Linked DNA regions of Arabidopsis thaliana. The protein of the gene in region 1 interacts with the protein of each later gene in a pairwise test. Each region holds a gene or a part of one and is shown on either strand. Other genes may lie near its edges. The genes, in order: UVR8 and RUP1.

Region 1 (7,503 bases):
TTCTTGGTTCCTACACGTCTTATTTAAACCTAAATCTTGTAAGATTTTGCTCTGTTTTGTCAGGTTAGCCTAAATCTTGAGAGGTCAAACTTGCAGTAACTTTCATTGTATAGAATTGCTTTTAACTGAATGATAAATCGAGTAGTAGATTAGTCCAATGGAAGTTTGTGGATCAAGTTATGTGTCTGTCGGCATTATAGTTTTCCTTTGAAATATTGACACATTACTAGAATCTTATCCAACAAAAAATTGTGTGGTTATGAAAATCCTAAGTAACGAGACAGCTTATTAAATGCCGAATTTGGTAGCAATTTGTTCAGATGAATGTATGTCTTCTTGTAAAAGACAGTATGAAGTGGAGGTTGATGCTAACTATCTTATGGTTCCTTATTGCACTTTGAAGCATTTATTGCAATTGTTTTCGGTTTTTTCTCTTGAGTGGGCTAAACTAATAATGGTCTGTTCTTTCTCTAAAGAGAGAAGAATTCGACAGGAGCGTGAAGCATCTTCATTCGCAAATATAACACATTAAAGCTACCTCTAGCATCATCTGTGTGATTCTCTCCAAGGTCATTCGTTGTCTGTCACGGGGCATCTCAAGTAATAAAGCTTAAAGTTAACTGTCTTTTCAGCCAAATAGTTTCATCATCTAAATATTCACATGATCTTCCATATTTCATCACCGATTATGGTTACAACATTTTTGCAAACCCTAAAATTTGTGTTATCGCCAAACTTGACCCTTATACCGGAACCCATGTGGGTGGGTGTTGATTTTTACTGTTTTGTAATTTGTTCATCGACAATCATTGACATGTACTCACCGCAATGTTTTTTCTTTCCTAGTTTCATGTGCATATATGTCTCTAAACAGTAATTGTTTAGCACTTCATGTCAAGCTTAAATTATTATAGGTGTCTTATCTTGTCTCTCTAGTATTTTCTGTTGAAGTCATGTGCATTAAATTGTATATAGTACTTCCAATGGCTTTCATATAATTTCCATTTTTCCACAAATTGTTCGTAATGATGTTTATTTAACAAGATTATAAAAGATAATGCAACAAATTTGTGTGATGAATGATGAGATGAACCCATTTGAAAGAGGTCGCAACAAATGTCAACATTAGAGACCATCTTGATCTAGAGTTTTGTCTCGTTGACTTTAATGCCAAAATTGGACAATACATATAATGCATGTATCAGGCAATGCAAAAATATCTTCATTCATTTAATTTTCTTACTATAATAGATGTCACAACTTCCCTCACTGACAAGCATATAATGTTGGTTTTATCTCAATGTAAACAACCTTTTAGTTTCACATAAATGTTAGGTCGAGCGAGGTGATATATTCGTTCCAGATCGGATGAAACAAGTAATTCATCGATGTTACCTTTATCCATATGTATATGTAAGATTATGGGTTTTAGGTAATCTAGTAAGTACTACTAAGTAGTATCCGTATGTAATTTTTTATTTATTTTTATCCGTTATGTATAATTTCTTTGGCCGTTTTCGCAAAATCTATATTTGGATGTTTTAGATCGTGAATTGATATATCTTAATTTGAATATTTAGGTATTCATATATTTTGAATCTATAGTTGACCTGTTGACCATGTATTTTGATTTGAATATCTCGCTCGATCGATAGAAGATTTTTTTTTGTTTTTGTTTTGTTGATAGTAGAATCTTCAAGTTGTAATTTAACAAAAAAAAAAAAAATCAAGTTGTAAGTAGACCGTATATCTGTATATTTCCATATGTAGAACCATGCATTTTGAATAATTGAATAAAATAACATGTAGCAAGACGTATCTTCATATGATAATCAGAATCATAATAAAAAGACAAACTGTACACCATATTGTAATCCAGGTTTAATTTGACCTCTTTGAAAAACTAAAATAGCTGAACTGAATATTTATAACTAAAAAGACAAATTGGATATGTCACTTTGGACTATGAAACTCAGAATTTTTTTTGACTAACGTGTATACTTTCACACGTGTGCATGACTAAAAACATATGATTAGGCTCTTACGATCTATGCGCCTTACACCTGTGAATGATGAACACATAAAACACAAGTTACGATCTAGAATGTCATGTGTACTGGCTTAAATCTACTTATGTGAAGAGGTAAATGAAATGGTCAAGAAACAAAAAAAAAAAGAAATGGTGAAATTATGAAAGTATAAAACTTTACCGGTGAGGTCCGTATTTGGATTTATTAAGTGAAGAGGGACCCTTTTGCAATTAAAGCCTGTACGACAAAAAAGAGATTTACTGTACGGTTAAAACAAAAAATAAAAAAACCAGCAAAAGTAAAAAAGTCAAAAAGCAGATATATGACATGTGCAAATCTCCATCGCGCCTTTATTACCATCTACCGCTTTCTCTCTCTGTCTTTCCTTGTTCAACCCTCGAGAGATTACGGATAGTGAAAGAGAAGCTACAAAATTTCCCAATTTATCAAAAAATAGAAATTTCTTACTTTTTTCAAAATTCATTTCTCCCCAAAAAAAATATCTTGTGAAAACTGCAACTGTGATCCATGGCGGAGGATATGGCTGCCGACGAAGTTACGGCTCCTCCTCGTAAGGTTCTTATCATCTCCGCTGGTGCTAGCCACTCCGTCGCTCTTCTCTGTACGTCTCTCTTCTTCTTCGCTGTTTTTTTTCCTTTTCTATTACGGACTCAAATAATCACCGGAATTGTGAAATCCGCTGCTTTAGTAGGCTGTGCTCTTCGCGAATTCTCTTGATCTGGCCTTTAATCGAGTTTCCCTTACTTTCGTCGTCTACTAATGAGTAGTTTTATGTTTTGATTTTGTAGCTGGTGACATTGTTTGTTCTTGGGGTCGAGGAGAGGATGGACAGTTAGGTCATGGCGATGCAGAGGATCGACCTTCTCCGACTCAGCTTAGCGCTTTAGATGGCCACCAAATTGTTTCCGTTACCTGTGGTGCTGATCACACTGTTGCTTATTCACAATCAGGCATGGAAGTCTACAGTTGGGGATGGTTTGTTTCTCATCATTATCTTCTTCTTTGCTGCTGAATCAATTGCTCTTCAGTCTGTTTGATATATTCGGGATGAGATGATGACCACTAGTTCCTCTCTAGATTTTTGTGTAGAAAACAGTAACTAATTATACACTCATTTGCACATATTTTAAGCCTCGTGTTCTCTAACCTTTATGTGTACTTTGCAGGGGTGATTTTGGGAGATTAGGCCATGGTAACTCAAGCGACTTGTTTACTCCGCTACCAATCAAAGCATTGCACGGTATTCGGATCAAGCAGATTGCTTGTGGGGATAGTCATTGTTTGGCTGTCACTATGGAAGGAGAGGTCCAGAGGTATTTTCTCTTTGTTATTGTTCTTCTCCTTATGTGCAATCATTTACAGTTTACATCTCAGCTCAATTAGATGAATTTCATCGGAATTTGATAATGTCGATTGCGTCCTGTGTCATTTCTATATATCTTGGTTATTGTGTACATTGCCTTTTAAACGTTTTGTCTGTCTTGTCTTGTTTTCCAACATATCTCTTTGACTTCTGTTTATACAGTTGGGGCCGCAACCAGAATGGTCAACTTGGTCTGGGGGACACCGAAGATTCTCTAGTGCCTCAGAAGATTCAAGCCTTTGAGGTTTGTATCACTAAATATTCTTCTAACATCTTTTTTCGTTGTAGTTTCCTCAACTTGCCAAATACTATGCTTCAGAATTGGGTCAATGTTGGGTCTATTTCTGCAACTTGATCTTCTTAAACATATGACTGTTACTAGTTAAGGGTCCACATCTGGTGAAGATGTCTTCAGAATCATAATTTAAGTTACATAATTTTAGGAGTGGTAGATACTAAATTGGATGTCTATGTGTTATACTATCTGCAAAACACAGATAGAAGGTAGGATCTTATTGATAATTTATCGGACTAGGTAAACTAGAAGATTAAGTGATTAGAGACCCTGAGTTTATGTTGTTAGTTTCGCTGATCTCCATTGTTACATCAACACTTTAAACTTGTAATGGGTGCAGGGAATACGAATCAAAATGGTTGCTGCTGGTGCAGAACACACTGCTGCAGTTACAGAAGATGGTGACCTCTATGGATGGGGCTGGGGAAGATACGGAAATTTGGGATTAGGTGACCGGACTGACCGCTTAGTTCCTGAAAGAGTTACCTCTACTGGTGTAAGCTAGAAGACTCTTGTTCTATAATTTTTGTTTAAGCACCTGCTACTTGTTTAAACTTGCATTTGAAGTTCAGTATACGTGAAAGAAATCGTGAATAGCTCAATATGCACTGCACTATTCTGGATTAGCTGTCTATATTGATGGAGTCACACGTATATGCAGTCTAATTTCAGTTGGTGGGTGTCAGGGAAGTGACCATAAAACTTTTAGAATGATCAAAGTTTGGTATCCTGAATCTGCACAGTTCATGAAATGAAATTTAGTTCATATAACATTGATATCACGCAACCTCACCTTTTTACCAACTTCTATTTCTGCATTTTAGTCCCTCAATTTTTTCCTTAATTCTCTTTTCATTTCGACTCACTTGACTCTCGTTTTCCTGGTTGTAACTACAATTTTAGGGTGAGAAAATGTCAATGGTTGCTTGTGGATGGCGGCACACAATATCAGTTTCCTACTCTGGAGCATTGTATACTTATGGATGGAGCAAATATGGACAGCTAGGACATGGAGACTTGGAGGATCACCTTATTCCTCACAAACTGGAAGCACTGAGCAACAGTTTTATCTCCCAGGTTTCACTTAGGCCTTATAAATCTGTCTTGAAATACAAATTTGTACATCTGAAATATCCAACATATGGGATAGCAATAATATGTTTTTCGAAAACTTTCTGACAACTATTACCTACTGAAGAAGACTGGCTTCATTGTATGTACTTCTGTTGGTTTTCTTCTTCTGTTCGACATCTTTTGGACTTACTGTTCGTTTCTTTTCCAGATTTCGGGAGGTTGGAGACATACAATGGCATTGACTTCAGATGGAAAACTATATGGATGGGGTTGGAATAAGGTCTAGAATGTCTTGCTTTTTTTTTTTTTTTTTCTGGCCTATATTTCGTAGAAATGTATAGAACACCTATTTTCATCTACACATTCACTGATATTTGCATTTAGTTGCTTTATGCTGTTAAGGAGTGATATGCATTCACTTAGATGTTATTTTAAGAAAACAACAATGCATATATTGGGTAACTTTAGTAACTCATCTTGAATAAAACAAACTTCTAATTGTCTCTCTTTTAGCCTGCAGTTTGGACAAGTAGGAGTCGGCAATAATTTAGATCAGTGTTCTCCTGTGCAAGTGCGATTTCCCGATGATCAGGCATGTTATCCCTAAAAAAGTTTAACGAGAAAGCTCGTCCCAATGTTTTACCGGCTATATAATCATATTAATAAGTTCATGTCTCAATTCGCTGTTTTCTTTTCCAATGCACACATATTGTGGAATTTCACAGAAAGTAGTTCAAGTCTCATGTGGATGGAGACATACCTTGGCTGTCACTGAAAGAAATAACGTGTTTGCTTGGGGTAGAGGTACAAATGGACAGCTCGGCATTGGAGAGTCGGTTGACAGGTAAAAGTGTGATCATCTAATCGCTCATGAATCAATGTTTTCCACTTAACATATCTTGGTGTTACGAACAGAATATGAAAATTGGCCAGTAAGATCGTTGTTTCCACCAAAATCATTGCTTTTCAATCCCACTCACTACCTATCTTGATAATGTGAAATGGATATTTGGTTTGGTGTTTATAGGAACTTTCCCAAGATTATAGAGGCACTCAGCGTCGATGGAGCAAGTGGACAACATATAGAATCTTCTAATATCGATCCATCTTCAGGTATTTAAACAATACCACTAGTTAAAACGATTTCTGTAAACGACTCAACAAGTGATTAAATGATTCAACTTTTGCATTGCTTTGTTACCAGGGAAAAGCTGGGTGTCGCCTGCAGAGAGATATGCAGTTGTTCCTGATGAAACGGTAAGCCTTAATTTTGTTAATTCTACTAAACTTTATATCCAATACGTAAACTACAATGAAAGCAAATGGCACAATTATATCGGCTTAGAACCAGATTTTACTGATTAATCATTGCTGCACAATTATACCTTGCTCTGTCAAGATCGTGGATTGTTTTCAAGGATGAAATCTATGTGTGTGATTTTGAATTTGGTTGTGTGTTAGGGCCTAACGGATGGTTCAAGCAAAGGTAATGGAGGTGATATCAGTGTTCCACAAACTGATGTCAAGCGTGTACGAATTTGAGCCTGAGTCAATTCCGTTTTTTTTTTACTTCCGGTTCTTCCGTTGGATTCGAAGGTTTTTCAGTGATCTCTTTTGGGTTGAGGTTTGTACTAAGAGTACGTCTGTCTAGTTTGGGATTGTACTTTTTGTTGTTGTTGTTAGTTTGTAACTTGTGATGCTTCCCTCCCCCTAGCTCTCTTATTACATGGGCGTTGTAAACTGTGTGTACTACTACTACTAGTCTCTAGGGTATGTACTTTTTTTTTCCTCACCATAATAATACCTTCTGGTTCTATATCTTTCATTTCTTAAAAAGTTTTCTGTTTTTTCCTTCAACCATTATACAACTTATGTTTTAAGAGAATTTTCTTTTTGTCTTATTTTTTTACCGCCTATGTTTGAATTCAAATATGATATGATTGATAGTGACCCGCTGAGTTTTAGAGTATTTGAATTTTGGAAAAAAAAACAATTTTATCAATCAAGATCAAAACTTAAGAAGAACAGTGATCACAGATTAACAAGTTGAACTTCTCCTTTTTTATCAAAGTGTGAAGCGCAGATGAGAACGAGAGTAGTATGGGTATTTTAGTTTACAACTTTTGGGTAGGTTAGCCTTTAGGCCCAACACACAATGCATGTTTCGTATTTCTATATATTCTAGTCTCAATACGAAGAGTCTAGAATACGAAGAATTTCTAATGGACTAAGTGATGGATATGTCAAAAAGAAAAAAAATTGATCCTTCATCATCCGCCAACCTAGTTATGCTGCCTAATATATTTGGCGTTTAGTGAAAATTTTCTATTGGGTAAAACTTATGTGGGTGATTCTCTTTAAAGCAAAACCATCCATATTGCTCTTTTAGTGTTTCTCTTTATGTGTCGGGTTTCTTTCCCTTAAATTATTCCAAATCGATGTCACTTAGATTCGATTCCATGTTATTACCTTTTTCAGTTCCAAGTCGCCATCTTTCAAACTTTCTAATGATTCTTGATGTTTCATCCACGAGTCTTTCATTCCCACCACTTTCTTGCTTTTTTAATTTCGGGTAAATATTACTCCATATATCATTTCGCCAATCTTCTTATATTCACATACACTTATTCATACATTACGATTATCTCATGGCATTACTCCGGCAATGGACTATACCTTATGTTCAAGTTGTTTTTTCTTAAAAAACCTTTTTTCATAAA
Region 2 (4,050 bases), 4.3 Mb from region 1:
TCAATTGGGAAATAGAGTATTCAATTGTGATCCTCGATGTTTAAGAATTGGGGCAAAGAAGACAGTTGACCACGTTCTTCTGAGTGTTCCTTGCATTGCAGATATGTGCGCTCGATCTCCTCAGCACTATGGAAATTTCGGTGTCGTCGGTATTTGCAAATTTGGATATTCTTTTCTTGGAACAACCTGGCTCTTCAAAAGATTTAACCTTTCCATGGATTATTTGATACATTGGAAGGCACGTAATGATAAGGTTTTTAATGATACATTTGAGAAACTGCACAGCTGCAAGAACATAAGACAAGTACCTTTGAACAACGGTCTTTATTACAAAAACTGGAGTTTGAAGTCACAAATTAATGTTTTATAAAATAGTTCATTTTTTTTGGTAAACATGTGAAGATTTTATAGATAGTTGATGGAAGGAGACTCGATATGTTTTCAAATATAGGTTGGATCGGTTTTCATAACGACATAGAAGGATCTCTTTTTAGAGTTAGGAATCTATGCATAAGCCTTTCTCCTATGATCAAGCATCAAAGTACATCGGTAACTATCTCAATGGACTGTTCAAAGCTAAAAGAAAATTGACAACTTCCTGAACATTTTAGCCAATTTTCTCAACATATTTGGAATGGTTTGCAAGACTCAAATATTTGCTCTCTTCTGGCTTTCTGTTATTCTTGTAATTAGAATTGTCTTGCTAACTTGTTAGCTAGCATGTTGTTCACCACTACATTTTCATTATTTTAAGTATGTAAGACCTATAGTTCTATATACACCATCGATTTGGATTACCGAACCATTTTGATATATGTGTATGTATTTCAGTCGACAAAAAAAAAAAACTTCTAAGATCAGTTTAAACTGAATTTTGGTTATCGCCTTCTCTGCGATCATGGATTGGGTTGGACCTAGACATATGGGCTTAAGATACGTTTTACAAGCTGTCATGATGAATACAATTATTGTCTTAAGTGTCACGAGATATTGAAATCGTCAAAATAAGCCAAACATGCACCAAGATATCAACGCACATGTAGTTATTATATAGCAATAGTATTCTAAACGTAATGAACCGTCGATGTATCGACGTGTACTTTTTGCATTCACTTTCTTTTGTCTTCAAAAATAAAATGAAAATCAGAAATAAAGAGGTGTAATATTATCCACGTAGGAGTTGAGATCTACGACGACCAAACTAATCGTTAGGAAAGGTTTCAAAATTTGAGGTTCTTATCCAACCAACGCTAACGTAATGCTAATCTCGTGTTTCCATTTCTTCTTCCTTTAATGCGATGTCTCTCTGCACCCAATAATTAAAAAAAAAGTTTCTTTACATTTTTTCTTCTAAGAGAATTTTTTTGGCAAGTTGGTGACATGGTGTACTTCCCATACTTATCCATATCCCATTGCTCTAACTTTTTGTTGCTAAAAGCTAACTTAAGGAGTGATGAAGATTATAACTCATAATCAATCTAAAAGATAGACTCTTAACCATTTCTAATCACCACAATGTTCAAAGATCATATTTGGAGCTAGTGGTTATTTAGCCATGTGCATGGTCTTATTTTGATAGATTACCTTTTTGGATTGTTTGAACAAAAACATAAATACATGTAGCTAATTTCGATATATTAATTACTTTTCTAGTTGGAACCATTCGGAGAACAGCAAGTACCAATAACGTGAATGCATTTCCATTTAATATCACACAAAAGAAAAGTTCCATGTATCATGAATTTAGCAAATTCCATTTATAAATATTTGGCTTAACTAAAATTATATACATGGTTTCTTCTACATCTAGTAAAAAAAAAAGATAGATAAACCATGATACCTATGTATATGTATTTATATTAAATTTAAATATACCCCACATTTTTTGTTTTCGTCAACAAACAAACCACTTTATAGCTTATATATACACATCACACACACATATGAATGTGATGTTAATATAGTTTCGTGTGGACCTAACTAAAACTAGTCGTAACTCATTCATGGAGGCTTTGTTCTGCTCTGAGATACCCAACAACAACATCAGATCTTCCATTAACGATCTATCTTCTTCTTCTTCATATACATGGCCAATGATCATGACCTCCTCTTCTTCTTCTTCTTCATCTCCCACAATCATGAACATAGAGAACATTCCTAGATGCGACTGGGATCTCTCTCTTTCCGCCGTTGTTTCCTCCGCATCCACCGGATCAGACGCTATCGGAGCAATCGAGTTCGACCCTACCGGAGAGATCATAGCTACGGGAGGAATCGCAAGAAAGATCAGATCGTATCGTTTAAGCTCTTTGTTAGAGTCACGTGACGATCACGTAACAGCTTCAGAGAGCTATATTTGCACGCCGGCGAAGCTTAGTAGTCTCAAATGGAGACCCGATTTTTCCGGTCGGGTTATCGGGTCAGGAGATTACGACGGAGTTGTCACCGAGTACGACGTGGAGAAACAAGTGCCTGTTTCCGAGAGAGACGAGCATGGAGGTAGAAGGATTTGGAGCGTGGACTACACGCTTTACAATGGCTCTCTTATAGGCGCGTCAGGCTCCGACGACGGAACGGTTCAAATGTGGGATCCACGTAACGGAGGGACGTTAGAAGAAACGGTTAGGCCCGGTGGTGGAGCGGCGATTTGTTCGGTAGAGTTCGATCCGTTCGGTGGATCTTCCATAGCCGTTGGATGTGCTGACCGGAATGCCTACGTGTATGACATCAGAAGACTAGTGGACCCTTTGATCGTATTAGACGGCCATACCAAAACGGTGACGTATGCTCGATTCATGGATTCTCACACGATCGTTACCGGTTCGACCGACGGGAGCTTGAAGCAATGGGATATAGATAATGGACGGCGCGTGGTTCGCACGTACCGAGGGCATGTGAATAGCCGGAACTTTGTTGGGTTGTCGGTTTGGAGACATGGTGGTTTGGTCGTGTCCGGGTCAGAGAATAACCAAGTGTTTGTGTACGATAAGAGGTGGGAGGAACCGGTTTGGGTTTGTGGATTGGGTCATACGAACCGGTTTGGATCTGACCGACGGTTTGTTAGTAGTGTGTGTTTGAGACAAGTGGATGAAGATTGGTGCACACTTGTGGCCGGAGGATCCGATGGGGCTTTAGAAATTTTCTCGGGCAAACAAAGCTAATCAGTATTTATATTATTTTTTTCTGCTCATGATTAATACAAACTGTTTTTCAGTTGATTTTATACTGTCTATAGTTATTAATTTTAATATGATTGAATGTTACTACAATTCTTAAGAAGAAATTGTAAGTGATATTGAGAACTTTTTCAATCATTGCAATTCGAATACACATTTTGTAGGGAATTGAAAATTAATTCTAATAGTGTTTTAATTAGCGCTAGAAAATAAATAAATAAAATGTATCAAGGAGAGTGTATATATTGACTTGTAAAATGACAAGGAGAAGTCAAATGTCCACTTGAATGAGAAATTCTATTTCTATATATCTTTTTAGTTTATGGACCTTTTTTTTTTTTTACATAGCTAAGCTAGAGCTTTAGACGACTAAATTGATTTTGAGTCTAAAAGATATGATATGTTTTGTAATCAATTGACCATTTAATCATGTCATGTTCTTTAGTTTTGTAAAAAGAGAAGAAAAACTTGTCAGACAATACTTATACATATACATTCATGTAGGTTAAGAGGGTTGTTTAAAATTATGTAACTATAGTGGTTTGATGCAAAATAAAATCTGGCCCAAACGGCATAGTGGCCAACAAAACTTTGCCACATGACATGACTCCAGTAGCCCAGAAACTGGGCTGATCCAATCAGAGGTTGTCTTTATAGCCCATCTTTAGATGAGTTTTACATCTCTTGTCAACAAATGTTACGACCAACAAAGTCTTTTTCTTCAGGCAAATATAAAAAGAAATAACGTGGTTCAGAGATTAATTATTTTAGAAAAACGTAAGAGTCAGGACATATATTTGGAAGTTCAACATGAAAAGCCAGCAAAACCCATTTGGGTCACGACATATTGTATATGGAAATGCAAAATATTCCC

Evidence for each region.
Region 2: the proteins of UVR8 (region 1) and RUP1 interact in a two-hybrid assay, tested with the Arabidopsis thaliana proteins (3 studies listed by BioGRID, with this or other methods).

What each region holds. Positions count from the first base shown.
Region 1 is NC_003076.8:25,553,643-25,561,145, reverse strand, and holds UVR8 (Regulator of chromosome condensation (RCC1) family protein), read left to right. Parts: upstream 1-1,646; 5' UTR 1,647-1,730; intron 1,731-2,161; 5' UTR 2,162-2,558; coding exon 2,559-2,652; intron 2,653-2,839; coding exon 2,840-3,026; intron 3,027-3,217; coding exon 3,218-3,364; intron 3,365-3,576; coding exon 3,577-3,658; intron 3,659-4,049; coding exon 4,050-4,205; intron 4,206-4,612; coding exon 4,613-4,786; intron 4,787-4,991; coding exon 4,992-5,063; intron 5,064-5,303; coding exon 5,304-5,375; intron 5,376-5,508; coding exon 5,509-5,627; intron 5,628-5,810; coding exon 5,811-5,896; intron 5,897-5,987; coding exon 5,988-6,040; intron 6,041-6,244; coding exon 6,245-6,325; 3' UTR 6,326-6,730; downstream 6,731-7,503. UniProt on the Arabidopsis thaliana protein: UV-B specific signaling component that acts as a UV-B photoreceptor and plays a key role in establishing UV-protective responses in plants.
Region 2 is NC_003076.8:21,214,895-21,218,944, forward strand, and holds RUP1 (Transducin/WD40 repeat-like superfamily protein), read left to right. Parts: upstream 1-1,877; 5' UTR 1,878-2,003; coding exon 2,004-3,161; 3' UTR 3,162-3,457; downstream 3,458-4,050. UniProt on the Arabidopsis thaliana protein: Functions in association with RUP2 as repressor of UV-B-induced photomorphogenesis mediated by UVR8 and HY5, likely in coordination with DHU1.